Schizosaccharomyces pombe: one gene and its partners. The gene in region 3 interacts genetically with the main gene of each other region. Each region holds a gene or a part of one and is shown on either strand. Other genes may lie near its edges.

Region 1 (9,296 bases), on a different chromosome or scaffold from region 3:
GTCCTAATTGTAAAAAAGAAATAATAGCACAATACTCGTAGTTGTTTAAAGCAGCATCATTAGCAGAAACACAATTGTTATAACGTTACTAGCCACATAGATCAAAACACATATGCGACAGATAATCAAATCTAAGACTTAAAGGTGGGATAATTTAAAGGCATCCATAATTACACTTCTCCAAATGATTTTGGTTTCATAATGACACCAGCATGTACTATGCATCTGGCAATCTTCAAGTACCCGAGCATATAATAATAGAACAAAACAAAAACAAAAGCATTAGGAATTATCGGCGACTCGTTTACAGGACATTACGGTTGCTATTAGTGATAAACTAATACACATATAAAGAGCGCTTGAACAAGTTGGAATATTCACAATTGAAAGAGGTTGAGATAGTGATATGCACAATACACTAAATTACCATTCTTCATCTTTCATGTCATGTTGTATACGTTTTTGCTTGTGAAAAGTATAATCTTCATCAGCGTCATCGCCAAGAGGGATAGAATTCTTCTTGATCCAGTCACGAACAAAAAGACTAGCTTTCATAAACTTTTTGGAGGCATACTTCTTGAAAAAAGCTTCATGTTGAACAGGCTTTTGTAAATAATTAATCATCTTCTTAACAACGGAAATTAATTGGTACTCCTCATAACCTGAGTAATGCACAAGATTACGATTCCACGGTCCACGTCCAAGCATTTCCCTGGCAAGGTACATAGCGGCAGCACACTGTTGGGAAGGGGGATAAGGTAAAAGTTTATGATCTAAAAGACCAATTTCAACAAGATACTTTGCAACAGTTCTTGTTTGAATATCGTAAAAGTCGGCTTTTGAGATACGACGTAGGAAATTCATAGGATTCGGGTAAGCAAGATTAAACTCTAGGACACGCAAAATGTAGCGCTCGGCTTGAAGAATTTCCTCTTCATCATACCCACCATCCGCCATATATACAAAGTTTTGGACTGAAGGGCACATCACCTCCTCATACTTGCTAGCGATGAACAAGGCAGCAATGCCAACCAATTGTAGTTTGTTAAGAGAGCATACCCGCAATGATAAAAATCTATCAATAATATTTACGGCCAAAAACAATGTTTCAGGAAGCAGTCGGAAACGAGAATGCACTTCAATTAACCAATCGGTAAGTATTCCACGCATCTTCCATGCAAGCTCTTTTTGACGATCCATATAAGTAGGAGAGGGCATAGTTTCAATTTCCAACTCATTCAAATATTCAAAAATATCAACGACATATTCAGAAACCATAAGAGGGTCAGCCCAATCTTCTGCATCCAAGTCATCCCAATCTTGAGATTCGGGACTCTCAACACTATCACGGTGAAGTTTGGGAATATCTTTCGAAACAACGCGTTCATCAACATCTTTCTTTAATTTTTTTGGAATAGTTGCTTGATCCTTATGGAAAGCATCAACCCCATGGGTTGAAACAGAGTGTGATTTCGTTGACAAGTGTTGAGGTAACGAGGGGACTGATGAATTAAAAACAGAAGGTTGGCGACGCTTCTTGGAAGCGGGTTCATCATCTGTTGCAGGGATTATAGACTTTTCCTCGAGAGCACGACGGGTACTGACAGAAGCAGTAGTGTGTCTGACATTTGTGTTTTTACTAGCTAATGGAACACCTTCTTTGTTGTGAAAATTGGAAACATCATCCAACGCATGACGCTTCTTAGGAACGTTGGTGGAAGACACAGTGGCTTTCTTGCCATTTACTAAAGAATTTTCTGAAGAGTGCAAAGAGCTTTTTGCACGGGCAATATGGTTTGAAGGATGATTTTCGTCATTGTTGCCCAAGGTATTTGCCAATAGGTGCTGGCGAGTTAAACGACGGGTAGTCATGAGGAAAAGAAGAAACGAATTCTGTCGGGGATTGAAAGAGAGGAAGGGAAATTAAAATATTAATTGGTTCAGGTAACAGAAATGATAAAAAAGAGGTTTTGAACGAACAACCTTTTTAAAGTGTCTAAAAACGTGAAGGGGTAGTACGGGACGGAGAAGATAAAATAGAATGAGTTATACTTGAAAGTTTATACAAAAATTTTAAGGATAAAATCCAAGCAAAAATGTATGTTTCTCGTACGTATAAAGGAGAAAATAATAGCCTTTGACCGAATCTAGAATTTGGCAAGAGCTTTTGAGACTTCTTTTTTTCAATAAAGTAAGGGGATTGCGATGAAGTCCAACAATGGATATAGGAAACGTAGAACACGAAACTGAACTTTGAAATGAAGCTATATGTAGAATCGATGTACGATTTTCCTATATTAACACCAGAACAAGAAAAGAAGGGTAAATGTTGACTTTAAATGACGTTAGTAAATCTAATGAAAAAACAAAATGGCACAATAAAGGATTATCCTATGAAAAAAAGAAACTTTGATAGGAAAATAAAATGGGTAGTTATTTAAATTTAAACCCCCATGTTTTACAGCACCCACCCCTTAATCCCTTCATAAATTTTAAAAAAATAAAAAAATAAAAAGAAATGAAGTTAGACTTAAAGAGGATTTCATGTTTTCGCTGAACTAGGTGAAGTCGAGGAAAAAGGGTGACTATTGATTGGGAAGAAATTTTCACATCTTCAGAAGGTCGTATTGTATGAAAATGTTCTTACACAACCAAAACTGTATTCCCAGCCTTTAACATTACTTACAATCTGATTAAGCTCTTGTTACAAGCAAGAAGACAAGACGAAAGAACAAGCTTTGCTTAACCGACCAGGTTCCGCTTCTTTTCTCGCCTCTAGCTCTAGACAGTGACTAATAGGGGAAAAGTCCTGTTCTTGCTTATATTTCTATGAGCAGGAATGTCGTTTAAGGGTAAAAACTCGTCAAGATGCTGGTTAAGGACAGCTCGTGGTAGTGGAGTCGACTGAAAGGAGTATCGTAGAGGGCGTAAACACTATGGGGTTGTCGGGGTAACGCAACGTTGGCAAGCTGGGAAACAAATACAAACATCAAATAATATGGTAATTTTCAATGTAAACAATAATATAAATATTAAACAAAAACAAACACGAGTTTCGTAAAAATAAGAAAACGGAGATATGGAACCACAATTTAATGTATATGAGCTACCTCACTATTGTAAAAAAGAGGTAATAATGTTATTGTCTATGAAATTATGCTGGGCACATTATATAAAGTAAAGAACGTATATAATCGAAACATGATTGCTTGGGAAATGCAATTAAAAATTAGTTCTTCAAGTTTTCTTTAATAATTACAATATTTAGTGGGTAGCTTACTCGTAAGCAGAATCTGAGCAGGGTAAACAACAAAGTCATCAAAAAAGGGGAGTTAATAATTAAAAAAATTATATGGAACGATTTAATAATGTAAAATAGAAGTCAAATTTTTGAATTTGAGATATGGTCCGTCTTTATTTACATCAGTCAAATGCTTCAAAGAAAAGTGAGAATGCCAGTACACCCACTTTAGTACTATATTATGGAATTTCAAAGGACCCAAATTCATCATATTGAATCATAGGGAAGGAGCAAACGCGCTTGTAATAAAAGAATCTAAATCAGCCTTTGTAAATTTGATATACTACGTAATGAGTAAGCAAAATGAAAAACGATAACAACTTAAATGTATATACACATCGATAAACTAGCAAATGAATATCGACAAATCCTCAATACACATACCTTGTCTTTATTTTTTGTAAAATCACTGTTGATGTATCTAAACAGAGGTTAGCTATAGTGGAACTAACAGTTTTTAATTGATCTTCATACTTATCATAGAACCTTTGATATAAAGGTAGTACAGTTTTCTTAACTTCTTGCAATAGAAAAGTGGCAACACCAGTTTCAAACCTAACAGATTCACGATGCACTTGAACAACAGATGTAACTTGTTCGTTGAAGTTTCGGAATTTTTCCTTTGTAATCTCTCGTTCTTTAGCAGACATAGTGGATTTGTTTTGAGATTTTGTATAGGTAGAATCGAGCATATTTTGAGAACACTGTCGCCAAACTTCCATATACATGGTTGAGTACTTTTGTGATCGATCTCCTAGCTTTTCTAAATCAACGTCTTGTAAAAATGATGCAATTTTTGACTCAAGACATTTTGCTTCAAAATAGACGCTGATGTTTAAAAGCATTACGCCCATTTTCCATCCAATCGTATCCACTGCCTGGGCAGCTGTTTGAACAGAAGTTAGGTAGGAATCCATACAATCCATAACATAGTTCCTCGTAATGTCTTGAACTGAGCGCGCAGGACTGAGATCAGCATTAATTTCGTGTCTCCAGCCCCAATTACCAATACTTTCAAGCAAATAAGAGGCATTTTCATGCTCAGCAAGTTCATTCAAGAAACTCATAATACCATGAGTCATTTCACTGACTCTATCAGTTGTGAGAGGGACTGTTTTGTTGTTATGGCAAGTGCCATTATACAGCCTCGATATAGAAGAAATCAATATCTTTTCCATTTCACGACCAACACCATTCACAAAACCAAGGAAAGAAGCATCTTCAAAAGGCATAAGATTATTCATGTTTTGGCGTGTAACAACGATACAATCAATTAAAGACAACAAAACAAAATTTTCTGCAGCACCTCTTTTTTCATAAACTCCCTCAAGCTGTCTGGTGGCATTGGTGACAGTGTTTATGGCAGGCTTAACGATTTTGGGATAAAGTGCCTTAGCAGTAACTTGATCAAACAAGAGTAGCAATTCCGAGGCAACGGCTGGTAATAGTCTAGATAAAGCAACTAAATTGATCGAAACATCTTCTTTTCCAGTCACGAAGTTAACTGATCCCTCGTTGAGCTTAATTTCATCTGTCCTCATAGAGACGGCATGAAGTAACTTGACAACACATTCGCCCTTTATCTTGATGTATATATTAGAGATATCTGAAGAGCAAGAAACTGGGAACAGAACATCAGCATCGAATTGCTGAATTAAACCTATAAATTGCTGAAGAGATTCATTGGGAAAACTCCACGGGATGGATAAATCCAAAAGTGTAGATGCTTTGTTAAGGGAGGATGCAGCATAAGTTTCAAGTATATTATAACACAATGCACCTAAAATCTGGCATCCTTCTGATAGCATCATCTCAACTTTTTGCTGCGATTTTGAGGCAAATTGAAGTGGACTTCCTTCTAAACTCGTATAATCTTCCGCTAAAGATTTTAGAATGTCCATGACAGATTTTAAATTTTGAGATACTGATTTATTTAAATTTTGGCATTCTTGCAACCCCTTTTGCAGCACAGGAAGGTGTGAATGGATAACTTGAAGGCTCTCCATTTCCTTTAACGTGTCGTAGATGTCTTAAACAAATTAGTAATTAACAAATAAAATTACAACAATACATACTGCTAGAAACGCGATTGTAGTTCGTCACATCATCTCTTAAGATTCCAGCAGACGCCTCGAGGCCGCTCAATCGTTTGTCCATGGACAATAGGATGTTAGAGGCATCAGATACATTCTTTGCGACCGAATTGAGATTCTTTTGAAACGTTTCAAACCCAGCTGTAACGATTTAATTAGTGATCGAGCTTTAACTTTTGAATTTATAAACATGGTAAATACCTTTATTATCATCAAAAATACCACCACTCCTATACCAGTTAGCTCAATTTTTTAATTCTTTAAGTTTAATGTAAGATACATTTTGCATATAATTTTTACGAAGGATGCGATTTATGAAAATCGTATATTATGTGTGGTGAAATGCATGTGCAGTTGTAAGGTGTACAATCCGAAAGAATGTTAGGGTCAACCAGATATTTTTCTGACTCATGTAATGAACGTTTTTGAAAACTACATATGTTTGAATGGAAAATTGATCATATTTTTTAAAAAAGGTTCAGTGTAATTATTGGTTTCCTTTTCTTACACATCGTAGTGGGCTATTAGCGATGTGAAACAAGCAATACGAGAATAGATTTGCATGTATAAATAAAAAATATTGAATTTGATTTAGAAAAATTATCATAATTTTTTGTTTCAGTTCAACTTCTCATTAAATAGCTGAACAGCTACAATATGATGGCCAACATAAGAGGGGATATTAAAAGAGAGTATTAAACGTAACAACAGCTCAAAAAGAAATAAATTCGTCTGTGTCTAACTTAGATCAGTAATTGCGCACAGCGCATTGGAAAAGAGAGACCTCGAAAATTAAACGGTAATAGAAATAAAGCAGACGGTAGTGTGAAAGCTGAATTAAAGTTAAATTTTCAAGTTTTTAATATTAAGGTATCATAAACAAAGGGTGATAATTATAGCATGCATGGATTCAGCGTTGATGTGATGAGAAGAGTAAGTCACTTAATAGTTAAAGCATCTATAAACGACTTTAGGGGGCAGATTTTTTTCTATCTCATCCAGAGTTTCTATGCCCATGTTCTTAAAAGAGCGACGCAGAAAAAAAAGGTCATTTTTAGTACCAAAGCGTTTGACTAGAGATAACGAGAAAGATATAATATTATGACTTGGTTTAATCTTAGATGCGAAGGTTTTTTCAAGCGTGGCGAAAGCTTTGGTGTATTCCTTATTTAAAAATAAAATAGCAACAAAGTCCATTAATAATTGTGAGCGATTGGATTGCAAAGTAAACTCGGACTCCTTCAAAACTGCTTCAGCGAATTCAGTTGATCGGAGGTCCATTGCATGTTGCATCATTATTCTTAGTTCTTTGTTTGTTATAGCATTAGCTTTTTTGAGTACCGCATACGAATGTAATATCCCTGAAGAATTTTTCATCATCAAAGCGACAAGCATTAATAGTCTGTGGCTAGGTAGATAAAATGAAGATGATTCAATTGAAAATGGTTGCATCTGCTTGCTAATGGCGGCAAAATCGTTCGAAGCACGTGAAAGAGACTCAGCAATAAGCAGTAAATTTTCTGTGGAAGAAAGCATTTTACTTTGTTTAAACCAAGCTTGGCAAAAGCGTACCGCTAATGTCGGCTTATTAGCCAAACAAAAGTTGATCACCATCATCCGAAGATAGGCGTCATTAATCGGGATATTATTATTCTTGAGGTATACTAGAAGTTCAAGAGCAGCTTCCAATTCACCGGTTGACAATAAAGCCAACAAAGACCTGTCTATGGCTGTGCGATTAATTTCTTTAAAGCTTCCGTTATATAACATAGGCAATAGAAGCTTAACTCCTGGAACATAATATGAGTAAGAAAAACATAACAATAAATCATAATAGAGGTTTTGGAGTTCACTCTTTTCATCTTTGGAAAGGGCTTCACGGTTATTAAGAAGTCGTTTAAATAAAGAGTTTGTGAGGAAGAAGCAAATTTCAATGTTTTCACCCGCTTCCGATGTATAGACCAGCAACCTGCGAAAGATTCGACGGGCGACTTTAAATGCTATTGGCTGACCTTCTATAGTTTCAACAATACCTTCCTTGTCTCTAGTTTTCAAAAGGGTCCAAAAGATGTTAACAAAAGCAACACGACTTAAATCAATCATGGCATTAGCTGCATATGTACGCAACCTTCGGGCCAATTCAGCAGAACGGTTTTTATGAGCAATGATACTAGCTTTTTCAAGAAATCGCATAGTGAATAACTCATTAGATTGACTGAATTTATCCAAAATTTCATTGAGCTCTGGGACACTTGTATGTTCCGTAATTAAATCACCAAGTTGTAAAGTAAAAGGTTCTCCTTTATTGTGCAATTTGGACGAAAAAAATTTTAATTTTTCCGTATGATTTTGTATTTTCTGAAGCGCTTGTAGTTCACTTATGTTCTTCAGCGCCAGTTCAGATGCGCTTTTAATACTCGCGTAAGGAGTGCAAACAGAAAATCCTCTACAACTACAAAGGAAATTTCGGCTCCATGGTCTAAGAAACATCTCTTTGCTCAAAAAATGTTTTCAATTAATAATAAATGCGACTTTTGAACCCGCAAGCGCGAAAAAACTGCACGACAACAGCTTGATAACCAGAAAATCAATCAAAAAACAACTGAGAACCTCTTAGGAACCCTCTTCATTAATTAATTCTCGTCCAAATGATAAACGGTCTAAGAGCAGTGTCTTTTTTCCTTCTTCTAGGAATATGCTCAGATTGAGTACCAGGGATTCTTTTAAAGAAGCTGCCTACAAGCCGATGGTTCATAAAGTAGCATGTTACTTTGTTTGGAAACATAAACACTAGTTTTTTCGCTTTATTCAATACTTGCATATGTTAAAATGGTTGAAGAATGAAGAGTTAAACTTGTAACTGTTCTAATTACAGCTTTTGCTGACGTTGCAAAATGTGAATATGGTTCACTTGAAAGTACATGCTTTAGTAACAACACTTCAAAGGGTCCATTATCTTTCTTAAGAGAAAAGATTTTTTGTTTGAGAATACGTTAGATAACTAAGTAAACTCGTTTATGCATCTTCTACTTGATCATTATGTTATGATTTACTCAATGAAAACACAAACGAGGAAATTACATAAGTCTCAATGAAATCAGTAGATGAAAACTCCTTTGCATTTTATTTTTATTATTAGCATAATGAAGTGACTTTCTTTTTGTTACATCCACCCAACAACCATTTAACGTTATAATTTCAATCAAATGAAAGGTGCCACCAACAATAGCCTTCATTCACGCTACTCTCACTGTAATCAACTGCAACCAAAAAGCTACAAAATAAAGTATGATTTTAACTAAAGTACAGCATGAATGTATAGTAATATAAAAACCAAGATTTTATTTCGTCCCTAAATGCTTGACTATAGGTACATTGTTTAAAGGAAACCAATGCGGTTAGCAACATCAAGAGCATCAGCATCAGCAGACAACTTAACGAAAGCCTTCTTGGTACCGTTAGGACGAATCAAAGTGTTGATCTTGACGGGTTCAACGCTGTAAAGCTTACGAACAGCCTCCTTAATGGTGAACTTGTTGGCTTTAAGATGGACATGGAAGACAAGAGTGTTGTCATCTTCAATCTTCTTCATAGCGGACTCGCTATTAATGGGATTGACGATGATTTTGTACTCATCGAGACGAGGAGCATGAGCAACACTCTTGCGAGCATACTTGGGCTTGCGAGAAAGCTGAAGAGTTTTGGGGCTATAAAGATATAAGTTAGCAAATATTCTTATCTAAAAAATATTTGGAAAGACCGAAGTTCTTAAGCTCCATAAAAAAGTGTATCGGGAAATCCAGCAATAATTTAAGTAATATTCTGTTACAAATGTAAAAAGTAATTTACTTAGCAAATCATGCCATACACTGAACTTTTGACGACACCATGTTTGGACACTG
Region 2 (12,193 bases), on a different chromosome or scaffold from region 3:
GACCACTCCCAGAATATGATTCGGAGGAAGAGGGCGCATTACCTCCATATTCAGGTAAGAATTGTAAATAATAAGAAAGGAATTACTCAATGGAAAGTTGAAACTTGCCATCTTGTCAAATTGCATGCTTTGGTCATTGTTTACAGTCGGCCATGCAATGCACACAATTTGATACATGCTCTTTCTTTACTAAAGTATTTCAATCATATTAATTTAAACAGATCACGCACTTGTAAATAATCCTCCTAACACACATAGAGAAAACCATTCTTCTGGGACGACAGATAATTCTTCCCCTTTGTTGATAAAACTGCTAATATCATTCACTTCAATCATTCTATTCAATGCTCCAGCAGTTTGTTATCTAAAGTATAAGGACGCTTTTTTTAAAAATTATGGTGCAGTGGAATGGACATTATTTGGATTTTGGTGTTTTGTTTGCACTTTGGCTTTAATATTCTTGACTTGTAAGTGAGACAATGGGGTTATTCTTACCTTCAGTCACTAACTCATCAGACTTCTATGAAACTTGGACCAAGGCAGTTAAAGTAACTGTAATTTCCTTGGCACAATGTGTAAAAGTGACTGCAGTTTTCTTGGCAAAATGTGTAAAGGTAACTGCGGTCGGCTTGTACAACTCAAGGGAAAAATGGGTAGTAATAATTTGGCTATTATGGGTAGTCATTTGCTATACACTTTTTCTTCGCGCCAAATTCGGTAATTTGAACTTAGACAAGGCTCTCATCTGTTCTACATGCAGTATTTCAGCTGCTTTACTTTTATTTTTACTATATGGTATGTGAAGTTATGGAGTTACCATTACTGACCGCTAACACGCAGTTCGTCTTCCATTTTGGACACTCAAGCATATGTTTTCTGGTTTGTTTCAAGTACTGGGTGTACAAAGTTGTGTCGTTATTGTACAGAAAGGTTTGATGCATTTATTTGATAAACATATCGACGGGACAGGCTACGAAATTGAAGCCTCTTCACTCTTTGTTATAGGAAATTTTCTTTTCTTTTACGAAATGGGTTTGTTTAATATTCCTGTAATTTACTCTAACCGTATCAGAATGTCCAGGTGCTCTCAAAAGGATGCCCAAATTTATCAGGAATGGTATAGCTTCTTTCCTAGGTATGTGTATTCAACCAACTGTATGAATGATTTTTTACTTACCCGACTAGGAGGTATAGCAAATGCGATTGGAGGTGCCAACGATAATAATGACATTCCCTTGGAAGAAACGGAGGCCGAAAGCGAAGTCTAATTGCTTTATTAATGTAGTTGTCGCTACAGTTGGAAAACCTCTTTACCAAAATCACCAATGCAGAGAAGCTGCGGCGTTTTTTAAAAAATTAGCACCAACTTTCTTTAATCATCCTCTTTCACTATAAGTTTATGGAATATATGCTTAACTTATTCTTTCAATTACCAAAGATTTTCAACCAATGCATTCTACGATGTTGGATAATGTGCATTGAGGACCGAAGTCTTTATTTATAATGTATGCGAGTCTAATTATTTGTCTTTTTTAATGGTACTCTACGCTACAAACAATAATGGTTTAACTTGTTTACGACAACTTTAAATCAACTAATGAAATCGGAAAACTCGTTGTTCCACCTTGTTAAATTCACAATTTCATTGTCGTTGTTACATTCATTTCTCCTTCATCTTGATTCTTAATTTAATCAAGCTTAATAATCATTTTTCCCTTCTGTTTAATGGTTCAATTCAAACAAAATTTAATGTTTACAAAATAATGAGCAGCATAATAGAATATTGTGGTTTAGAACGATGGTTTGTTATCGTAATTACGTGTAAGCTACGCAGTTTGGTATCTGATTTAAGGATACGTAGAACTGCGGTGAGTTTTCCTTGTGATCTATTATATTACAATACACAGGTTGTATAAGTAGCAACTGAGTATAGGTATTGTATTAACTGGGTTATAATGTTACCTATCACTAGTATAGCTCATAACTGAACCTCGTTCCTCAGTTCAGTGGTAGCTCTATTTATAGTATTCAGATAATATAGATCTGAATAGATTATCATTAAGATTAATCTCCATATCGTATCATACATGGTACGATATATAATTAGAACATGTGACATATAGTGATACGCAACGTAGTGTATCACTATATGTCATATGTTGAAATACTAGTTAAGATCCGCTTGTTGATAATCACAGGTAACTATTCGTCTATGTACATAAATACCCGTTGATAACAGCCATTTATAAATAGCGTTACAACTGAACCTCGTTCCTCAGTTCAGTTATGAGCTATACTAGTGATAGGTAACATTATAACCCAGTTAATACAATACCTATACTCAGTTGCTACTTATACAACCTGTGTGTTGCAATATAATAGATCACAAGGAAAACTCACCGCAATTTTACATTTCGTTAAAGTGGATACCAGATGGATAGTTAACTCGAATTTCTTCAAATACGACAATTTTTCACTAAAGTAGTTTAGTGACTGAGTAAATAGATCGTAAACTCGTGTCTGCCCTCTACCACTTCACTTTTACCCATTTTATTGTATTGAATGGCAATTAACTTAATTCGCTTCGAATTGCATATTTTCAATACGGCAAGTTTCAACTAAGAAGGAGAATTTGAAATAGATCTGTAAAGACGCGTATCTATAACTTGCTTATTCATTACGCGTTATTACGTTTAGTATAAGAAAAATACAGTCTGTCTTTTAGGTTTTGGCTGTTTTCTTTTTTCGTTAAAAAACAAATTGTTCTGAAAAAAAGGAAATTTATATTGATAGGTTGATGTATACGACTTTCGAGAATGTATCAGAATGGTAAACCAGATGCCCCCACAATCTTAGGCCAGAAAAGAGAACTTGAAGATGTAGAAATACAAGATGATGATATTCAGGTATGTTAACGTGTTGAGCCTTTAGGCATTCGAATGTTAAGACATGTCGCTAACTCTGTTAAAGGAAGTCTCTAAAGAAGACTTATTAAAGGATGTAAGAGTGAGGAGCATTCAATTTGATGAGTTAGAAAGTAAAATAGAGGGACTTCAAAATTTAGCAGAAGAGAAATTAAAAGTTTTAGCTACTTTGGTCTCTTGGTGGCCTGAAATACTTCAGCAGTTTAGCGTTGTGTTTCAAGGCAATGAGCTGAAGGACTTCGAGAGTGAAGGTGTTTTTTCGATTTTGGAGAAATTCCCGGAGCTTTCATACTTCAATGACGCTGTGAAAAATAATAAAACTAAAGCCTTGAGCATCATTCAAAAACTCTTGTCTACTGTTGACTCAAGCACAAATTCGGTCTCCAGAGATCCTTTTTCAGTTTTATCAATTGATGACTCTGCCCTTACTGAGAAATTAAACACCATTAATTTGGATATTGACAAGATTTTAGATGAATTGGATACCACTCGGTCTCAGCTTCATTCAATTATAAAACTACCAGATCGCTCGTCTAGTTTTACTTTGCAATGCATTAATGAATCAGTGAGACCCCAGTCTACTAAAGTGAAAGAGGAAGCAACCACCTCCTCTAAGGGGAAAGATGAAGAAAAGAAAGTTAGCACGGTTGAACAACGTACTCAACTGCAACAATTATCCAGGCTTCAAGACCAACAAAATGGTTTAATGGAGTCTCGCTCACAAAGCCTTAAAATTTTGGATTCGAACGTTAATGAAATGGATAAATTAATTATGGAACGAGAAAACGCATTAAACAACGTCGAAACTACAAACTTGAAAAAATACTCTTCCTTTTTAGCACTTAAAGAAGCTGTTTCTATGACATCTGAGCAGTTACGCGTATTAGAGCACTTATTGTCCGAATGTTCTCACGAAATAAATGTATTGTCGCAACAGTCAAAGAATTTTAACGGTGTTTTTGAATCTTCCTATCAGCCGTTAATAAACGATCTTGATCATCAAATATCTGTTATGCAAAACGATGAAAAAAGAATTAATAACGCAAAGACTGAATTAAGCTTATCCCTTGAAAAGAAGTTGGAAGCTAAAAAGCAAAAAGAGAAGGTCTACAAAGACAAGTTAGATGAACTTGCGAATTTAGAGACAATGGTATTGGAAAAGAAAAAAGCGGTGGCTACCCGTGAAGCTGCAAACAAAATCCGGCTCGTAGACCTTAACGATTTGGAGTTACAAAAAGATCTGTCAACTTACCTTTCTAAAGAGTTGGCTTCTACTGAAAAAGCATTTAGGTTGGTAAAACAGCAAACTGTGAAAAGTAGCCACTCCCATTATCAAGAATTGATAACCAAATTTAGTGTCGAAAAGGAAAAGGCGGAGCAAAAATATTTTCTGACCATGAAGTCTACAGATAGTCTTCATGCTGAAGTAAAGTTACTGCGCCAGAAGTACCAGAAGACCAACGAAATTATCTCAAAAATGTTAAATAGCCAAGACACTGCTGTCCATAGAATAATAGAGTTTGAAGATCAGCTAGCCCGTCTATCATCGGTTCGAAATAACTCTATAAAACAATCAACAACGTTTCAAGTCAAAAAGTCATCTCAAAAATCAACTATTCAAAACCTGGAAGAAAAGGTGTCTTATTTACAGCAATTTATGGATAAAAATAATGCTACATTAACAGACCTTGAATTTCAATGCTCAGATTTATCATCTTCTATAGATATACTTTCCAAGCAAGATGAAGAGCATGAAAAAGAGAAGCGAAAGTTAAAGGATACTGGGGTATCAACGTCAGCTGAAGAGTTAAAAACTTTTAGGGCCATGTGTAAGTGTTCAGTTTGTAACTTCGAGCGCTGGAAAGATCGAATTATTTCTCTCTGTGGTCATGGCTTTTGTTACCAATGCATACAAAAACGGATTGAAACACGGCAACGCAGATGCCCGATTTGCGGTCGTGGATTTGGTGCTTCTGATGTTATTCCGATACATCTTTGAAGAATATGTTTTATTTGTGTAAATTATGTCTTTCAGGAAAACGCTGTATATATAACAAATCATTTTCCTTAATATAATCTTTGAAACTAGGTCACGTAGTTTTTAAACTATCCAATGCATCTATGTTTTTAGTTAATAAATTTATTATTATAAAATCATTACTCGTCATTATAATTAAAATTCTATATTATACGGTTAAGGATTTTTTCTCGCACCACCCACAGTGTTGTCGAACTGAGTTAAAACCGAGCCAATCTTTTTCTGATACTGCCGATAAAGATCGTCCCTTCCGTTTCTTTTTGCATCTTTCATTAATCGCTGGTAATAAATTCGGACCATCTGTTTAACGTCAGGCAAAAGTTCCTTTTTGGGGGCAGCAATGAAGTGCTCGATAATTTTCTTGGCACCATTTTGGTATATTCCAAAGACTCTAGAAGATTTAGGAAATTCAACGTCGCCATGAATTTCCTTAACCGTCTTAAGAATCTGAATCATTGCTGACATATTTTTCAGCATCTGAAGACAGCTGCCTCTATTCATTGATTCTATTTTGTAAAAGATAGAGTATAGCGATGAATCAACCAGTTCACTCAGACCTTGGAATACAAACCTATAAAAAGTTAGCAAATCAATATAAGGAATTCATTTGTTATTTACCTTCGTTCCCATTCATTCAAACAGGTTTCGAGTTTCAAATTCGTCGTCACAATAGTAGAGTTGAGAGCCATTATCGAAGCATCTGGTCTTCCGCGGTACTCGACAACATAGTCAGGAAGGTTTACACTTTGATTAATACTATGAATGTACTGTAACCGAACTTCCATTCGGATTAGCAGTAAAGCATCGAATTGGAGCCTCTGTAAAGAATCAAAGACTTCTTTATATGCACTTTTATAAAAATCAGTATAAAGTTCAATACATACAGTAACATACCCCTTCATTAAATCCGAATTATTACCCAACAAATTATCAATTGGTAAAAAGTCACCACCGAAATTAGCTTGGTTTTGTTGCAAAACGTTCATTCTTCGCGAACCGTTCATAAATCTTGAAAAACAGCGCTGAAGAAACCATTCCATGGAGTTATGAAGATAAGAAACCGAGTTCACTAGGTCGGAATCTTTGGATAAAACCGATACCGGAAGTTTAACTTCGGACGTAATCGCACGATCTTCATATTGTAATAAACGCTTATTCTCCATTCGACAAAGCTCATTTAACCCTTCAAGTGATGGATTTTTTTGCTTGAGGAATTTAATAAATTGAGGGTACGTTACATCGTCGTGAAGTAGCTTTACTCGAACAGTATCATCGACATCTTCAGTATCCTCGTTGACATGTTTGTATTCTTTGAGAACAGCCGTTCTGCACAAATCTATAAAGGGTAAGCTGGGGAAACAGTGAAAAAATGGAAATGAAACATACCAGAGAGATAATCAGAACAATGGTTGCGAAAACGAACAAGCAAAGTATGTAATAATTCATAAAATTCTACCAAATTTAATGCAACAATAGGCAAATAATCTTGAAGATCGTGAAAATATTGAACAATAGCCACATGGCACTAAAATTAACGTTAATCGTAGCTTCTTAATGAGACTATACCTTAAAAATTGGGATTTTAGAGTATATCTTCCAATCTCTGTGCAATTGGAACGCACCCACGTCTTTCATTATGGTGTCAAAGTGACTCGACATAAACTTGTATAATTGTGGAATGTAACTTCCCCTTAAAAATTCTTTCATAAAATTAACAGCAAACTGAGGAGGTATATTTGGGCTAAATTTTTGTTAGCAAAATAATCCAAACTCAACTTAATTGACGTACTTTTTCAAAATAGACACACTGTCTTCCAAAAAGAATACGGTTTGAGGTAGGACAGACGAAGCATGAAAAACCGAAGGCCCAACAAATACAACGTGGCCAGCCAAACGTACAATTTCTTTCGAACTTCCAGAAAATAGTTCAATAGTGGAAACTGAAGCATTTGATTTATTAAGAATAAGCTCTGGAGCCTTTTCGTTAACCAACTCATTTATTCTGGCATAAAACGCATTACTTTTGTTCTCCACAGCAATTTCGTTTGTTACGTCGAAAAGTTTATCTTCTTCATTTTCGCCAGGGAGGTTGTATATGGACATCTCAGTTCCAACAACGAAATTTCCACTATTTTCAATATACTCTTCTTTGGAAATAAGATAATCTTTTAACATTAACCTAATTTCGCTCTCGAATGCTTGCAGCAACGTATCAAATGGAAACGTGCTATCAGAAGTATCAAATTTTGATACCTTTGGGCTTGTGGGGTCCGAGTTAACAGACATAATGCTAGATTTGTGAGAAGATGAAGCATGCTTTGGTGTTTTAGTCTCTAATTTGGTCATGAATTCGGAGATACCGCGATAATGCATTAAAACACACCTTAATTTTGTAAATAAGTTCGTCAAGAACTCGGAAATCATAGTATGCTCTCTATCAGTCTCAGCGTGCAAACCTATATCATAAAGTGATTTTGAAAAGGGATTAACGGTAGAAACGTTATTACCGAGTGAATATTTGTTAACGATTGCACGTGAAGTAGAATCTACCGTAGTAAACATCTCCGCAGAAGTACGAGACTTTAAAGATGAAATAGCATTGGGGAGTTTTCCCAATAAATTCAATGACTCCAAAACAATACGTATATCACGTAAACTGTCTCTACCATAATCCATTTTTAAGCAATCCGACAACTTTAAAGAAAGCGCTTCTTCTAGGTAACGCAATTGCTCACTTTGGCCCAGAGTTGATGTATTTGCATTGTTTTTTAAAAAATCTCTCAAAAAATATGGGTTGGAAGTTTCCCTCAGCGGATTTGGAGAGCAGTACGATACTATGGGATAAGCGACAGCATCTTTAAGGAAAGTAATTGAAACCAACTCTTCAGATAGAATGTCCTCTAAATGTGACAAGAGTCCTGTCATCCGACTTTTAAACTGCTCCACTACTAATATTCCGTCAAAATCAGAACGACTTAATTCATCCCATACACGACGTATTAAATCGCTGGCATGATAATATTGCTTGCTATCAACAAGCGTATGAAAGTTGTCAAACAGCTGGTTGGCTTCATTAAGTTCCTTGAGCACACTTATGACTTTTTTGTATTGAGAACTACGAGCCAATGTTTGTTGAAGCTCTTTGCTATTAGTATTACCAATGCATTCTTGCGAAGCCTCAAGGGATTGCTTTAATGCTATGATTCTCGAATTGCACTTCTGAATTCCCTCCATTATTTCTCCATAAGCCGATATACCTCGAGTAAAGTCATCTTTATGAGTATGGGCAATCGTTTGTAATGCAGCACTAATTCGATCGTAAACGTTCAGAAAAGACTTATAATCTCTTCCAAAGCTACTGTCATCTAATAGTTCCAACGCTGTAGATATCGGTTGATACTTAACCATTCGTTAGTAAATTCAAACATCCTCCAATCTTCACTTATTCACGCAACATACGTCTTCTCTTCCCAGGTCTTTCCATTCATCCTCAATTTCATTTACTAAATCTAGCATAAAGGTTAAATCAAAACTCCCTGCTGCTTCACCTTACTTTCTAAATCGCCTATGTGCATTCCACGCGATGCATACTCTGAACTCAATTCATTGTCCATGCTAGTTCCATAATTTGAGTAGCCGTTAGGAGATTCCAAGCTTTTCTTTCCCACTGGATACCTTCCTTTTTTCGTTTCCGAATAGCCTCTGGTATCCATGGAAGTCAAATAGTCAGTAGTTTTAGCTTGATATGTCTATTGACTGTATTATCTTTGAAAGGAGAGCTAAGAAATCACTATATGAATTACGTGGACCAACGCACTGCTATTTATTACAGCGCACCTTGATTTAATACTTTATACTGACAAGGAGCATGCAAAAGAACTCTGTATGTGTTTCAGAGTTAATGGGGGTGATGGACTATTGTATAAGAAAAGAATGATAAGGGTGTAACTAAGCTACTACTACCACGAAATAATACTAATATAAACAGAAAAATCAAGCATCCAAGAAAAGGCAAATTAAGATACTTCGCAGAAAAGTACTTTGATAAATAACTATGCCATAATAAAAAAATAAGGTATGATGAGATGATTAAGAGAATAATAATATGAGCAATGCCAAAGACCAAAATAAAAGTCAGAATAAAGGGGTGCAGATGTAACAAAAAAACTAAAAAAGAAAGAACGGTTAAAAATGCGCAATCTCAATATGCATTTTCTCCATTACAAAAATCAACACATGACAATCTTAAAAGATAAGAAAGTAAAAGAGAGATTAAGGGCATTAGAAGGATACAAGTATTAAAACCAGTAATCCTTGTAACACAAACAACACAACAAATGGGGGCGGAAAAAAAATTTATAATCCAAGAAGATTCCAACTGTCATAGCTTCGTTACAATCACTGAATTAAGAAATTTAACGAAACAGAAAGATGAAAGACTAACGACTTCTTTATATAACGGATTGCCAATTTGAAGTAATATAAATAAATAGCGGGTCTCAAGCTTCCGAGCTCAATGAACAACTCAGTGCGCAAACTATCGATAAACACTTTTGCCAAGAAATATTCAACAAAGCGATGAATGTAAGTTCTAGAGTGCTTTGAAACTAAATGCATCAAGCAACATTTTAAAGCTACCATTTGAATTATTAGGTAGACGTCTCTCCGCAAGAGTCATCATCATTTGAATAACTCATCAATCCCCCAAGTTCATCGTAAGCATTAGAGAGACTGTCTTCATAGCCCCGTTCCGCAATTTGCATTCCCTTAGCTTCCTTCCATATTTTTAGAAAGTATAGCCTCAAAGTCCGTAAACCTCGTACGTATCCTCGATCATACGTGTCTTTGTGTTGAGGAGGACATGTAGCTTTTGCTAAAAGCTCTTTATCCTCAGCAAAAACACAATTGGCAAAATCAACAATCCGAATGTCAATTTCACGAGGCTTGACTTTTTCTTTGCTGGATTTGTCGCTTGGCGGCGGCTCCCCATCATATAAAAATAGTAATGAACTAGCATACAAGCGGGATCCTTTAAGAAACCTAACAATTTGCTCTAACTGCTCTAGCTTTCTAATTATCGTGGGAATATGATGCACCAAGAGATGGCTATTGTCTTCATCGTCATCCGTTTTCCCTAAGTAACGCATCAATGCGTGTTGAAATTCCTCTCCTGCTTTAATATCACGACCTACATACTTATCTTCAAATGTATATGATTGAAGCCAAGGATGCCAAACTTGCATTCCACATATTCGGACACCAAGAACTCGAGATGTAGTCATCGCACACTTTTTAGTTTGTGAGGCTTTCTTTTTCTCCGTAGCCATTATTCCGTATTGTCTAGTACCCATCTTGACATCCAACACACAAGGTCTTTTCATTCCACTCGTTAAGTCTTCAATCACAATATATCTCTCAATCTGGGTAGAATGTTGAGATTCCGAATTTTCCGCGAGGGCATTAGCATCATTATTATTATTGTTTTGATTATCGCTTGCTGGAATCCGGTGATCTTCATCGGCGGATGCCATGTGTGGAAGAGAGAGTACTCGCCTAGGATCATTTACGCTCCTGAATGGATCTCCAATTTCTGCTGGTTCTAGAGGTGGAGGTAACTCGCTGTTTTCTTCATTGTCCATAGCAAAAATAGAGTCATCGGGTACAGTTCCATGCGAGTTCGGTGTACTTCGTAGTTCCTTTATTGTATGTCCTGTTGACTCCCTTGAATCATAATCCTCCATTGTACCAGAAACCCGAGGAAACTCGTTAGATTCTGGTTCTTCCCAAACAGCATCTGATGAAAAGCGTCTATATGACTTACCTTGATTATTGGACGGTACGTTGAGGAGTTCCTCGTCGACTTCTTCATTTTCTTCGGCAACGGCGGAATGCAAGTCGTAATGTTTATCTTCAACGCTACAGGATAAGCTTTTGTTAGGATCTGCATCCTTATCACGAGCTCGGCTAGATGTGTTTCCATTATCCAATTGTCCAAAAGCAACCGAATTATCACGAAAAACAGAAGGTCGATGGGAACTCCTTGAATGGAAACGAGTTCCAAGTCGACGTCTTGCATGCTTGGGAGCAAAAACTTCTCGTAGAACTTCCTCTCGCAGTTTTCTGTTAATTAATGTGGTTCCCCATGGAGTTTTGGGCGGTATATCAGCCACGAAAGTAGGAGATACTGGCCGTTCTCCGGCTGAAGATGATTTATGGTGTAAAGATTTGGGGCTTCCATAAGAATGAGATCTTTTGTCGGGAAGCATCCATTCAGGAAAAATATGACGGTTTTGCTCAACACTAACCTCTGGAATGTATCCATAGTCTTTTTTCTGATAACAGCTGTTAAATGTGTGTTTATGGGGGGCAGGTGTTTTAGACGATGATTCTGTATTGACATATTCCGTAGTAGAATCGTTTTCTTCTGTTTTAGTAATAGTATGAGTCACATTTAAAACACCAATATACTTTGGGATAAAGGGAAGCAATTCTGGATGGCAAGCTTCAATAGTTTCATAAAACGTATTTTCATTTCTTGTAAGTGGTTTGCAAACGGCTCTTTTAGAAAACCGGAAGAAAGCCGTATGTCCACCGACTTGATGTTTGAAGGGTTCCAATCGTACAGTAACCGGATAATCAACATTCCAATGGAAAAAAGGATGGTCTTCAGGAGGAGATGATGAGACAGATGATACAGATGATCGCGGGGTGGATGCAGGACTTTGATAAGAACGGGATACCGACCTTTCAAGCTCAAACGAAGCATCAGGTAGTAAAGGGAGGTGTTGAGATGACTTTTTAGAAGGATTATGTGGTATGTAGGTGGCTGTGGTTTTAGAACTACCACTATCTTTTCTTCGTTTAGGAGCTGAGCTCCGACCACGAGATGATCTTCGACTTAGTGATGTATCTTTTTCGGAAATAACTTCATCTAAATCATGCTGAGCACCAACACTTGGTGATCCAGATTTGGAGAGCCTTTCAGAAACAGATTCAAGAGGACTCGACACGTTGTGCAAAGCAGTATTAGTACTGTTACCGGTTTCTAAGTTATTGGAGGTAGAAGACTCAAAGAGACGTAATGACCTGCTTGCCTTTCGAGACGGATGAGCAGAATGAGCACTTGCCATATCATCAGCTTCAGAAACGGCTGAAGACTGCAGCACCGGTACTGGTGATTCAGCAACTGAATAAGAGGAACCACCTAATTGCAAGTCAGCTAGACTCTTGT
Region 3 (10,442 bases):
AGTGACCACGTATAACTACGAGACCATATAGTCACGTCTTGCTTGATCAACCACTCAATAATAGAGGTAATACTAATTATAGAGTAGTTCAGCATTTTATCTAGCCACATAACTGCGTTGAACGGTTGTAATTTCCAAAATGAAAAAAGTTCATCAACAACCTCTATTTCGGAATCTAATGATTTTCGAGAAAAATGTTTCAATGTATTAAGATGTTTCTCGAACACGTTCAATGCGTGCGAAAACGATCTCGAACCCAAGCTATAAGCACAAGACATAACTAATCGGACAGCAGATGTCTCGGAGTTTTGAATCTCCTCGCTCTGCAAAATAATGTCAAGTTCTTCTAACGGTTTATGTAATCTCAATGCTTCGATAATTTGACTTGACTGTTGATATAGCGGATGAGTCTCATTTTCGTACACGAAATTGGGACCCGACGGTTGTTCGCCAAGCAAACAACGTAACTCTTCAGGGAGTGAGTCAGAAATTCTTGTGTAATAGCTTAAAATAAGTTCCCTAGTAATAGTTTCCCGCATAAAAACTTTTTTTGGATGAAGATCGTCCAGCTCAACGTCAGGAATCCACTCATTCCACTTCCAGTGAAAGTTGAAATTACTAAGGTGATGTGAAAACCAGTCAATAAATCGATCAAGTGTTTGTAAAGGTAAATCAGAAGACATGGTATACATTAGCCGAATGACCCTTCCAAAAGTTGGAGCCAAAATTTTAGGAGCGATACGGCAGCATTCAATCAAAAGCGAATGATAATAGACAGGTTTATACGTAGTATTCTGTGAACCAAGAAGCTCACCCAAAACAGCTTCAACTATGATATCTTCTGCTTTCCAACGTGATTCCGATGGATCTAAATTTGGTAATTCATTTACTGGAGTACCACGAAGAGCAAAAGTTTTGTAGGTAAAATAAACATCTAAATCTGTAAGAACTTGAGCAGCCTCAACTCGGTTAAATTCCAAATGGTTTATAACATCCACACTTATATCACGAAATATGCTGGCTGCAACGTCGGAAGCGTCAGGAGTCGTGCGAATTTCAAAGTTATTAAAAAGCTCAAAAAATCTCTTGAAGGAAGGTAGCTCATTTTGCTGAGGAGTGGGCTGAAACGTCCATTCAGGAATACTTGGGCTAACCGGAACAATATGAACGAAATCAGATTCAAAAAACTTCCAGGGTTGAGATATATAAGGAAAAGTAAAGTCGTTTTCCCGAGATAGAATTAGTTGTTTATAGAGTAAGTCCAATTCCTCCTCTGAAAGATTGTCATGTATTGAAAGGGGATTACTTAGAGTTATCGAAGATTTCCTATGACGAACGTAAATCTCACATTGATCCAGTATCTCATTAGCAAAATCCTTTTTACCGAGATCGTTGTTAGCTGCGATGAAATATGGAAGGTTTATCAAAATTATGCGCAGGAAATTATCTCCCCAGACACTGGGTTTGGTTTCTTTTGAGATAGCGTCAGCCAGTAATGAAAATAGTGGCTTAAGGGTACCTGGTTGAAGTGCAAATGACATGCAAATGAGCATTCGTAGATCGACTTTAGCCTCGTAATAAAGAAAGGAGTTTAAATTCGTAAAATACTGTAAACAAAAATACGCAGCTGCTTTTTCTAAGATTAAAGGAACCCTTAATGAGGCTCTTATAATTAATGTAGCCAAATGAGGTATTTTGACTGGAATGATAAATGCACTAAGGATTAAATTAGTTTTCTGAAGGGACAGTATAAATTATCACTTACGTTGTCTGAATGCAATCTAAGATAGTTGAAATGGTTTCAGGATCATTAGCTTCACGACTAAGAGACATAGCAACATAATTAATGTCATCAGCAGCTACTGAATTTCCTCGAGGATCCGCCAAAAAGGTAATATCCTTTTTTATACGCGCTGCAAGTAGCTCTTGAGAGTTTCCTCTATGGGGACGAAATCCATAATTCTCTCCCTCTCTCGTCCTCTTTCTGGGTCGAGTTGATCCCCGATAAGAAGACATTTTGTGAGGAATGTTAGTGTCTTACTGTTGTTGGCGTATAGCAGAATTGTAAAAACACGAGCAAGTGTTCTCAAGTAACAATCAACTTAGAGGTAACGAATGGTATACTAAGTCGAGATGGAAATTGTAAAACAAAAAAAAAGAAAATCGATTTTCCAATGCGATAAAAACGAAAACCTTAATAAATATGATTAGAAAATTTTACAACACTGTAATATTCTATTTCGGTAAAGGAATAAGCATCCATTCTGCTTCTATATTTTCACCTTTCAGTGAATGAGTCCTTCGTTTTTTTTGACAAACAATTAAAACAAAAATTAGAGGATATAATTTGAAATCCTCATTCACCGAGATTTAAGTGAAAAGGATCTGTGTTTATGCTTGTTTTTTCCTTGCCAAGGAGCATTTCTGCCATACATAAACCCGTGGCAGGAGCTTGAGTTATCCCCCAGTTGGCGTGACCCGCTGCAACAAATACACCAGACTTGGTTGTTGATATTATCGGGATACCTGTTATTCTACTGGTAGGAAGGAACTTAAAAGATGCGTCTAAGTAGTTACTCTTCGTATTCTCCGAGAGCACCAAATCGGTCATTTCTTTCAATTCGATAATTTCAAAAGGATTAAAAAAACATCGATTACTATCTTTTGGCAGCAAATGGAATTTTGGAGTTCCCATAAAAATAAGCTGCTCCCGGTTTTTACTGAAAATTTCGGTTGTTTTGCAAATGTTTAGATTACCCATGGTATTTAAACAACACACAACAATGCTGTCGCCAACGGGAAAATTTCCTACCGATAGGTGAATTATGGGAATGCATAGACCTGCAATACCAGTAAATGGTAATAGATAACCAGTCCAAGGCCCAGCACTCACCAGCGTTTTATGCACCTGTGCTTTTATTATTGTATCTTCAGCTTCTTGTTTTGGAACGTATGTAATATGGTGTTTACTAACCTCTTTCACACTTCCAAATATAAACTTTACTCCTCGTTTTTCTATTTCTTTTGCCATAAATTGACAAAACAATTTTGGATTGATCATTGCAAAATCGTTGCCGGAACCGATACTAGAACCTAAATGGTTAGTCTCTATATGACTTATACAATAAAGTTATTATTTTTTTTTGGTAGCACTTATGAGCTTACATTTTTGCATGCGCTCTCGTTGAAGCCATTGCAAAGTATCGGGAACTTTGGCAACATTGGTATTGTCCCATTTCATCTTACAAAACCAAGAATTGGCAGTCCTATATTCCCAGTTTTTCTTCCCATCAAATTTTTTATCCAATCCTTCATAAAGCTTCAAAGCGAGAGTTGAAAGTGGCTGTATGATTTCATTCTGGCACAGTTTTGTCAAGATTGCAGAATCAATGCCGGAGCTACCTCCTGCTATTTCTTTTGATTCAAATATAAATATGTCCAATTCTCCTTTTTTGTATTCTTGTTCTTCTGTTAAGTAAAACGCCGTACAAATTCCAATAATGCCACCTAAAAATCATCGTCAGCATGCTCACTCATCATTTATGAAACTGTTGTTCTCCAAAATTACCTCCTACTATTCCTATCTTTGTCTTATTTCCTTCTCTACTTGTAGCGCTCATATTTGAAGTTGGAAAGTTGACTTGAAACACAATCATCTTGCTGTAACGCTTCTAAACATTACGTTATCCTCACCAGTATTTCCTTCAATCTCTCTTATTTTTTTACCATTTTGAGAATAAAATAAATAGCAATAATAATAATAACAAAACGGTTCAATATTCAACAGTTTTTGCCATTCAGAATGCCTTTCATAAATTGCTATGGCGAGATATACGATTCTTTCATGAATACCAAACGATTGTAAAAAAGGAAAAAAATTACAAAATACTCCTCCTAATCTATAAAGTCAAGTTCGCATAAACAAACGGATTTTTAAATTTTTGAAATGCCAGATTCACATTCTTCAGATAGTTTACATATTATTTACACATGCCTTAATTAAAATTACTGCAACCAGTTCATTGAGTTGTAATTATATTTTGATTCCAAATAATCTACTGAAAACAGCTGTACAGCTGTATATGCAGAATGGTATTTCCAAAGCATAACAAATATTAGACATTTCACAACAATGATAATTGTTAAGCGATATCATCTTGAAAAGTTTATTTTACCGACTTATGATCGACAATCAACAGAAATATGCAAAATAAATTAGTGATGGTATGGATGTAATCCGTTAAATGGTATTCAAGCACTTTGTTCTCAGTACGTGCTCCAAAACATTACATTGCTGGAGATGCTATGGAATTTGATTTTTTTTCGTTTGTTGCTCCTTCCAGAGTTCAATCATTAGTCCTTCCTTTTGGTCGTGTTAGAAGAAAAAGTTTCTCGTCCTACCTACAATTACTCCGCAGAGTAAGTCATATTCAGTTGAGTGATGTCCCTGTAGCTACTGCTACTAGAAAATGTATGTTTCTTATTTTTATGATTATTGACTAATCTTAATAGCGAGTTCTTTCAATCCTTTGGCTTTTCCGTTGGGCAGATTGGTGTACAATTTCCTAACCAGCCTTGATGATCAACAAGCTCTACTAGAAGAATTTGAATATTTTCGGCGCGTTTTCGTTCTTATTGGTATTGTAGATGGGTCAGAGGAACAAGAAGTTGAGCAATTATGTTCTACCTTGGATGTTTGGCGGAGAAGGATACCTCATGCGTTAGTTGCAAAATGCATCGTATTTAATTGTCCAGAAGACAAAGAGAATATATTTAATGCTCCCAATATCATAATAGGACCAAGGTCTGATTTTTCAATAAACTCCGTAATGCGGTCTATTTTATGCGATATCACTGCTGAGTTGTTAGAAGGATTTAGTTCGCTCGAGTTTTCTATACACGCGCGTTCCGTGATCCTTTCTCCAATTACTGACATGCCACATTTGGCTCCCTTGCAAAGGAAAAATTCTAATGCGTCGATTCACTCCTTAGGCTCATCTTCTCGTCCTACTTTGACGAGAACTCCCTCGATCACATCAAGATCTGTGAATAGTGTAACGGAACGATCCAAAAGTCTCTCAAAGGGGCGTATTGAGAACCAATTTGGCCAGCTATACTTGCTGGCCGGCAGAGTTCCCAATGCGTTGAAGCATTTCTCAACAGCCATAGCGCTTTCTAAAGCAACTGGAGACTTTCTTTGGCAAGGACTTTCGTTGGAGTTATTTACTGTTTGTCTGGTTATAATGGCTCATTTGCATGTGGACGTCCAGATTCCTCCTAATATATTATCCATGTTCCCTTCTTATAATGATAGATTGAATGCCTTTGGACCACTCAAATTTGATGCACTATTAAACTTTATCACAGAAATGCGCAACGTAGTTGATCAATTATATCAAAAATCCACTCTTCAACCTAATGATGCTGTCCCCGGCCTCTGTTTTTCCGAGAGTATCCTACGGTATGCTCATTTACTCACAGTTGTTTATAGTTGTAAAGGATTTAACGACAACGCTTTGGATCATATTATTGCTCAAGCCCCCATAAGACCTGTTAAAAAAGCTACAACGTATGTACCAAATAAAGCAACTATTTGTCAATGGATTATGAGAGCCCAAGGACAGCATCTTAACTCTCTTTCAATTCGTGAACGTTGTCGCATATACGGGGCTATGGCAAATATGCTTGGAAGTATAGGATTTTCTCGGTTAAGGGTCAAGATGTTGCGTGAGTTGGTTGCGAGTTTAACACCTGTACTATTAGAAACGCGTAGGCAAAATGCTTCAAAAAATGGAATACATCCGGAGGTTATTGCTTCGCATACCGCACAATCCTTTAAAAGCACTCATTACTGTAACATCTTACCTTTGATATCTGAAATATGTCAAGAATATGGCCTATTGAAAACTGATGGTAGTCTTCTAAATCCAGAATTAACAAAATGGGGTTGGTCAAATTTACAATTTGATGTTCTTAATGAGCTTATATCCCTTTGTGATTCTCTATCTGACTATCGCAGTATTCTTCTTTTAATTTCTTTGTTTTTTCTCACTTCTGTTCAAACTGCTTCTTCTTCCCAACAAATCTCTATGTTTAAAGCTTTTAGAAAAACGTACCTATTTGCTAGCAATGCTGGTATACACATTAACGCTCCATACTGGGACCCATTTATGATAACGGATTTAAAGTTCATTGGTTCGTCCGAGAATGCCGAATTAATTCATCAACGGTTAAGAAACGGGTTACCAAAATCAATTGAAAAAGGACCATTCATCTATAATCCATTTAATAGAAGACAGGACCAAAACCAATCGAAATCAGTCCTCGTTGTCGATGAACAAGTTGCGTTTTCGATCTATTTTCGTAACCCTCTTAGTGTATCAGTTGAAGTGCAAGATGTTCATTTAGAAACGAAAGGGGTTTCTGCAAAATGTTCACATTCTACTTTTACGATGCGGCCACTATCTATAGAGCGTACTACACTTACTGTAACTCCTACGGAAACCGGAGAATTACATATTGTTGGTTGTCGTGTAAAAGTCTTTGGCTGTGAGCCAATTCTGCAGTATGTTTACGAAGCAAAGGATAAACACAAGTCATTGCACGTTTACCTTGAGAAAAGTAAAGACGTCAATGCTGAACTTCGTTCCTTGGATACCATCGACCATTTATGGACTTACTTTCCGTTTAAAAAGGACTTGAAAACTAAGTCATTTGATTGTATAGTTATAGCTAGCCAGCCGAAATTATCGCTTGCTTTTCAAAACCTAACATCTGGAAAGTTTAACTTTGCTGAATACGAAACGGGTGAATTGGTGTATGTAATTGAAAATACGTCTTTTGTTGAGGCATCTCACATATCTGTTCTTTTTGAGGACAGTTCATCCAAAGCTTTTGAGCAAGCTATAGCGGATAAAAGTATCACAGCAGATCGATTATATGAACTCCAATTTGAAGAATTTAACCTCCCAACATTTACTGTCGAGAGTAGCCAACCGTTTTCACTTTCACCAGGTGAGCGCAGGGAAATTCATATTAAAATCCGGGCAAAGCCAAATTCTCAAGAAGGATTGATATTATTTGAAAGTAGTGTGCATAAGCCTGAAGACACAGAATTTTATGTTAGACGTCTAAGAATCCCGGTTTCTTTAAACATAAGTAAAAGAGTGGATTTGAAACAATGGTCTGCGTTTATGGATACTGAAGGAGATCCCAGCTACTGCTTGGTGCTATTAAACTTTTATAATCATTTCTCTGAGCCTTTATTTGTCACGGTTAAAACAGCAAGTACCGATGAGTCCCGATCAGTTTTAATCAAACCAAAAGCTGATAATGTCATATTATTCCGTTTAAAAAGATTTATTATGTCCTCTGAGGAAATCAATCTTGATATTCCAAACTTATCTACAAAGCAATTCGTACTATCTAGCGGATTTAAAAAAAGTATCGAGGATAGCTATACTATGAAAAAGCGTTTTTGGATTAAGGAGTATTTTCTAAAAGAAGTTCAAGCTTCTTGGAAAACCGACGATAATCTTCACCATGGAGAGATTTACTTGAGAAATCATATTTTGTCTGACGAAATGGCAAATAATCTATCTATTCTACCAATTAGGATTCAGGCTTGGGTTAGCTATGATTCTGAAAAAGTCACCACGGTTTGTCCGCGAGAACCATTCAAACTTGTTCTTGAATTTTTCGGTATGCAATTATTGATACTTCATATTCCTTCCTATGTCTTTTAATTTTACTAATTTCTATAACAGGTCATGCCGATACCAATATGCGTTATAAAATATCGTGGACTCAATTAAATACTCAAGCTAACACTTCTTCCTTCAACGGACTAATTTTAGATGGCCCAGAAGAGGACATTGTATGCTTTAACAATTCCAAATGTCATGTCGTGATCGAGCGCAACATGTTTGCATATACAACAGGGATGTACAATATATTTGTTCGTATTTTTAACGAAGAACTACAATTGCTATCGCAGCCTGTTGACTTGGATGAGCCCATACTACTAATTGTTGATGCGAAGTAACTCATGTCATTAATGTTCGTCTATATTACTCTTTTTCTTCCATGTCTTGAAATCTAATAGTTTTGATCCGAAAATAAATAAATTTTACATATTTTACTCTTAACCATGCTATTCAGTAAGCGCTTGGAAGAGTGTCCACGTTCAGAGGTATCAGGTCGTATTTATAGTTTCATGCGTACAAACGTGAAAATTATATAAAATTGCAACTTAATAATTTAGCATCAAAAGAATCCAAGGTATGCTTGCTTTGTAATTATTATAAGTGGAATACGTTCTGCCCCCACTTAGTACCTTTTATTTCTAATATTTAGCGCAGGGCTACGAGATTATTAGAAACATTAGCTGAACGTGACCAGAACCAATATGTTTAGAAATCAATATGGTAAGTAAAATAGAAGAAATTGGTCTGCTAACTTTATAATTAGATGGAGATGCGACTACGTGGAGCCCTCAAGGAAGACTCCATCAAGTAGAATACGCATTAGAAGCTATTAAACAAGGATCAGCTACGGTTGGACTCGTTTCCAAAACACATGCTGTTCTAGTCGCTTTAAAGGTATCCACAATTTTATTTTACTAGGGCCTCCATTAACTTTCAAAATGTAGAGAAACGCAGAGGAACTTAGCAGCTACCAAAAGAAGTTGATTCGCATTGATGACCATATTGGTATTGCTATAGCTGGTTTGGCTCCTGACGCCAGAGTTTTGAGGTAAGGCATTTAATGGATGTAAGACAGTCATGCAAAAACCGTAATCTCTATGTGTGTTTGCTTTGGTTTTTGAAATTGCTATCGGTGGGAATACTTTTTTTGAGAGTATTACTAGGCATAATGATTTTGTATATTACAATTTACGTTTGTTATAATGGAATATTAACGCAACAGTAACTATATGAAGCAAGAAGCTTTATCGTCTAAGACTTTGTTTACTCGACCTATTCCTGTCCGTCGTCTAATGAGCAAGGTTGCTGAAAAGGCTCAAATTAATACTCAGGAGTACGGAAGGAGACCTTATGGTGTTGGGTTTTTAGTAATTGGGTACGATGAAAGTGGTCCACATTTACTCGAGTTTCAACCTTCTGGCCTTGTTCTAGAATATTTGGGTACTAGTATGGGTTCACGATCCCAGTCTGCTCGTACTTACATAGAGCGAAATTTGGATACATTTCCGGATTCTAGCAGAGAAGAACTTATCCTCTCAGCACTTAGAGCTTTACGTGATACTCTTTCAAAAGACCAAGAACTGACCGAAGAAAACGTTTCTATATCCGTCATTGGAAAAGATGAAAAATATACTCTTTACGATCAAAATGACACAAAAGAATGGCTTGATAAATTAGGCGACAAAGGTCCCGCGGCTGCTCGTGCTTCTAGGGCTGCCGCCGAAGAACCTCAAGCGCCTACTGCGGAGGCTATACTTGACTCTGCTGATGCCATGGAAACTGATTAATTGCCATGATTCAAATGATACCTTTCTTAAGTACATATGTCATAGAATTCCGAAAAGATGATTATCCTTTATAGGGATTTTTCTTAGCTATCCTTTTTATTCCTTCGACAATTACGATTTCTGGCATGTCATTTCCAAGCTATTAAGTTGCTGGATAGAAATCTAGGAAATTTAATGAAAAATAAATGTTAACTTTGTGCATAGGAATGTATTATTTTATGTAATTTGCTAAGTAATTAGATGAATGGTGCTATACTTGATACGTTACTTATTATATTTATATGAATTAAAAATAATAATTATTAGATGTTCATAACAATGACCAATGTCAATAGTGTTGTCAATAACAATGCCGGAAACAAATTTTAATATTCTGCTGCACTGAAGTATTTATTGCATAAAGGGACTTTATCATATTTGAACAATTGCTGTATTAAGTATTGAACTAAAACCTCAATTGTCTTTCTATGAAATTTTCATGAAAACTTGCTTCATCATTTGTTCGCCTTTTTTTAATTCAGCCAAAATGTTACGAAGATTAACGAAAAAAAGTCAGAGAATGTGCTGCTTTTCCGCTGCTTGTTACAATGCCATTGCTTTGTCAGATCAAAACCTTCGTATCTTGCTTACATAAACTTACCCACAGCACAACACTTTGAATTCCAATTGCCGAGCCAATATCCGGAATTTTATTTAAATATCGGAATTATTTTGTTTTAAATAGTTCATAAACAGTAATTTGTTTGTATTGTCATTATCGCGGGGTTGACTCCTTCATTGACCATTTTGTGTTGAATTCAGCGTTTGCACCGTTACTATGAGCCAAGTGAAAGTCGCGGTGAGAAGTGAGGAAGCAGCTAATTCTTATACGCAAACGTTTGGCATGTCCTGGAGGCAATGGCGTCAAGCATGCTCTGAAGAATATGCGAAACAATGTGAGCGTGAAGTC

The links.
Region 1: mutations in trs120 (region 3) and exo70 impair growth when combined (synthetic growth defect), as found in Schizosaccharomyces pombe (one study listed by BioGRID).
Region 2: mutations in trs120 (region 3) and sec8 are lethal when combined (synthetic lethality), as found in Schizosaccharomyces pombe (one study listed by BioGRID).

What each region holds. Positions count from the first base shown.
Region 1 is NC_003423.3:413,699-422,994, reverse strand, and holds exo70 (exocyst complex subunit Exo70), read right to left. Parts: upstream 5,753-9,296; 5' UTR 5,677-5,752; coding exon 5,675-5,676; intron 5,625-5,674; coding exon 5,596-5,624; intron 5,536-5,595; coding exon 5,377-5,535; intron 5,331-5,376; coding exon 3,776-5,330; intron 3,723-3,775; coding exon 3,686-3,722; intron 3,585-3,685; coding exon 3,519-3,584; 3' UTR 3,128-3,518; downstream 1-3,127. Other genes in the region: G2/M B-type cyclin Cdc13, read right to left, coding at 424-1,872; protein Ppr10, read right to left, coding at 6,337-7,884; rpl2501 (60S ribosomal protein uL23), read right to left, coding at 8,774-9,101. UniProt on the Schizosaccharomyces pombe protein: Required for exocytosis.
Region 2 is NC_003421.2:487,252-499,444, forward strand, and holds sec8 (exocyst complex subunit Exo4), read right to left. Parts: upstream 8,683-12,193; 5' UTR 8,676-8,682; coding exon 8,516-8,675; exon of another isoform or gene 8,472-8,515; coding exon 8,422-8,471; exon of another isoform or gene 8,362-8,421; coding exon 6,752-8,361; exon of another isoform or gene 6,735-6,751; intron 6,704-6,734; coding exon 6,529-6,703; intron 6,488-6,528; coding exon 6,349-6,487; intron 6,299-6,348; coding exon 5,857-6,298; exon of another isoform or gene 5,812-5,856; coding exon 5,581-5,811; exon of another isoform or gene 5,534-5,580; coding exon 5,119-5,533; 3' UTR 4,924-5,118; coding exon of another isoform or gene 2,971-4,923; 3' UTR 2,907-2,970; coding exon of another isoform or gene 2,817-2,906; 3' UTR 2,765-2,816; downstream 1-2,764. Other genes in the region: wtf antidote-like meiotic drive suppressor Wtf9, read left to right, coding at 1-54, 222-467, 517-795, 841-1,032, 1,073-1,135, 1,186-1,268; histone H2B-K119 ubiquitin ligase complex (HULC) subunit, ubiquitin-protein ligase E3 Brl2, read left to right, coding at 2,817-2,906, 2,971-4,923; kcs1 (inositol polyphosphate kinase), read right to left, coding at 9,612-12,193.
Region 3 is NC_003424.3:3,220,107-3,230,548, reverse strand, and holds trs120 (TRAPP complex subunit Trs120), read left to right. Parts: upstream 1-4,271; 5' UTR 4,272-4,305; coding exon 4,306-4,471; exon of another isoform or gene 4,472-4,512; coding exon 4,513-7,701; exon of another isoform or gene 7,702-7,766; coding exon 7,767-8,044; 3' UTR 8,045-8,181; downstream 8,182-10,442. Other genes in the region: cbc1 (nuclear cap-binding complex large subunit), read right to left, coding at 1-1,716, 1,766-2,016; tda3 (FAD-dependent amino acid oxidase), read right to left, coding at 2,357-3,093, 3,166-3,507, 3,569-3,620; proteasome core particle subunit alpha 6 Pre5, read left to right, coding at 8,408-8,426, 8,470-8,600, 8,651-8,754, 8,929-9,493; cardiolipin-specific phospholipase Cld1, read left to right, coding at 10,311-10,442. UniProt on the Schizosaccharomyces pombe protein: Component of the TRAPP II complex. TRAPP II seems to play a role in intra-Golgi transport.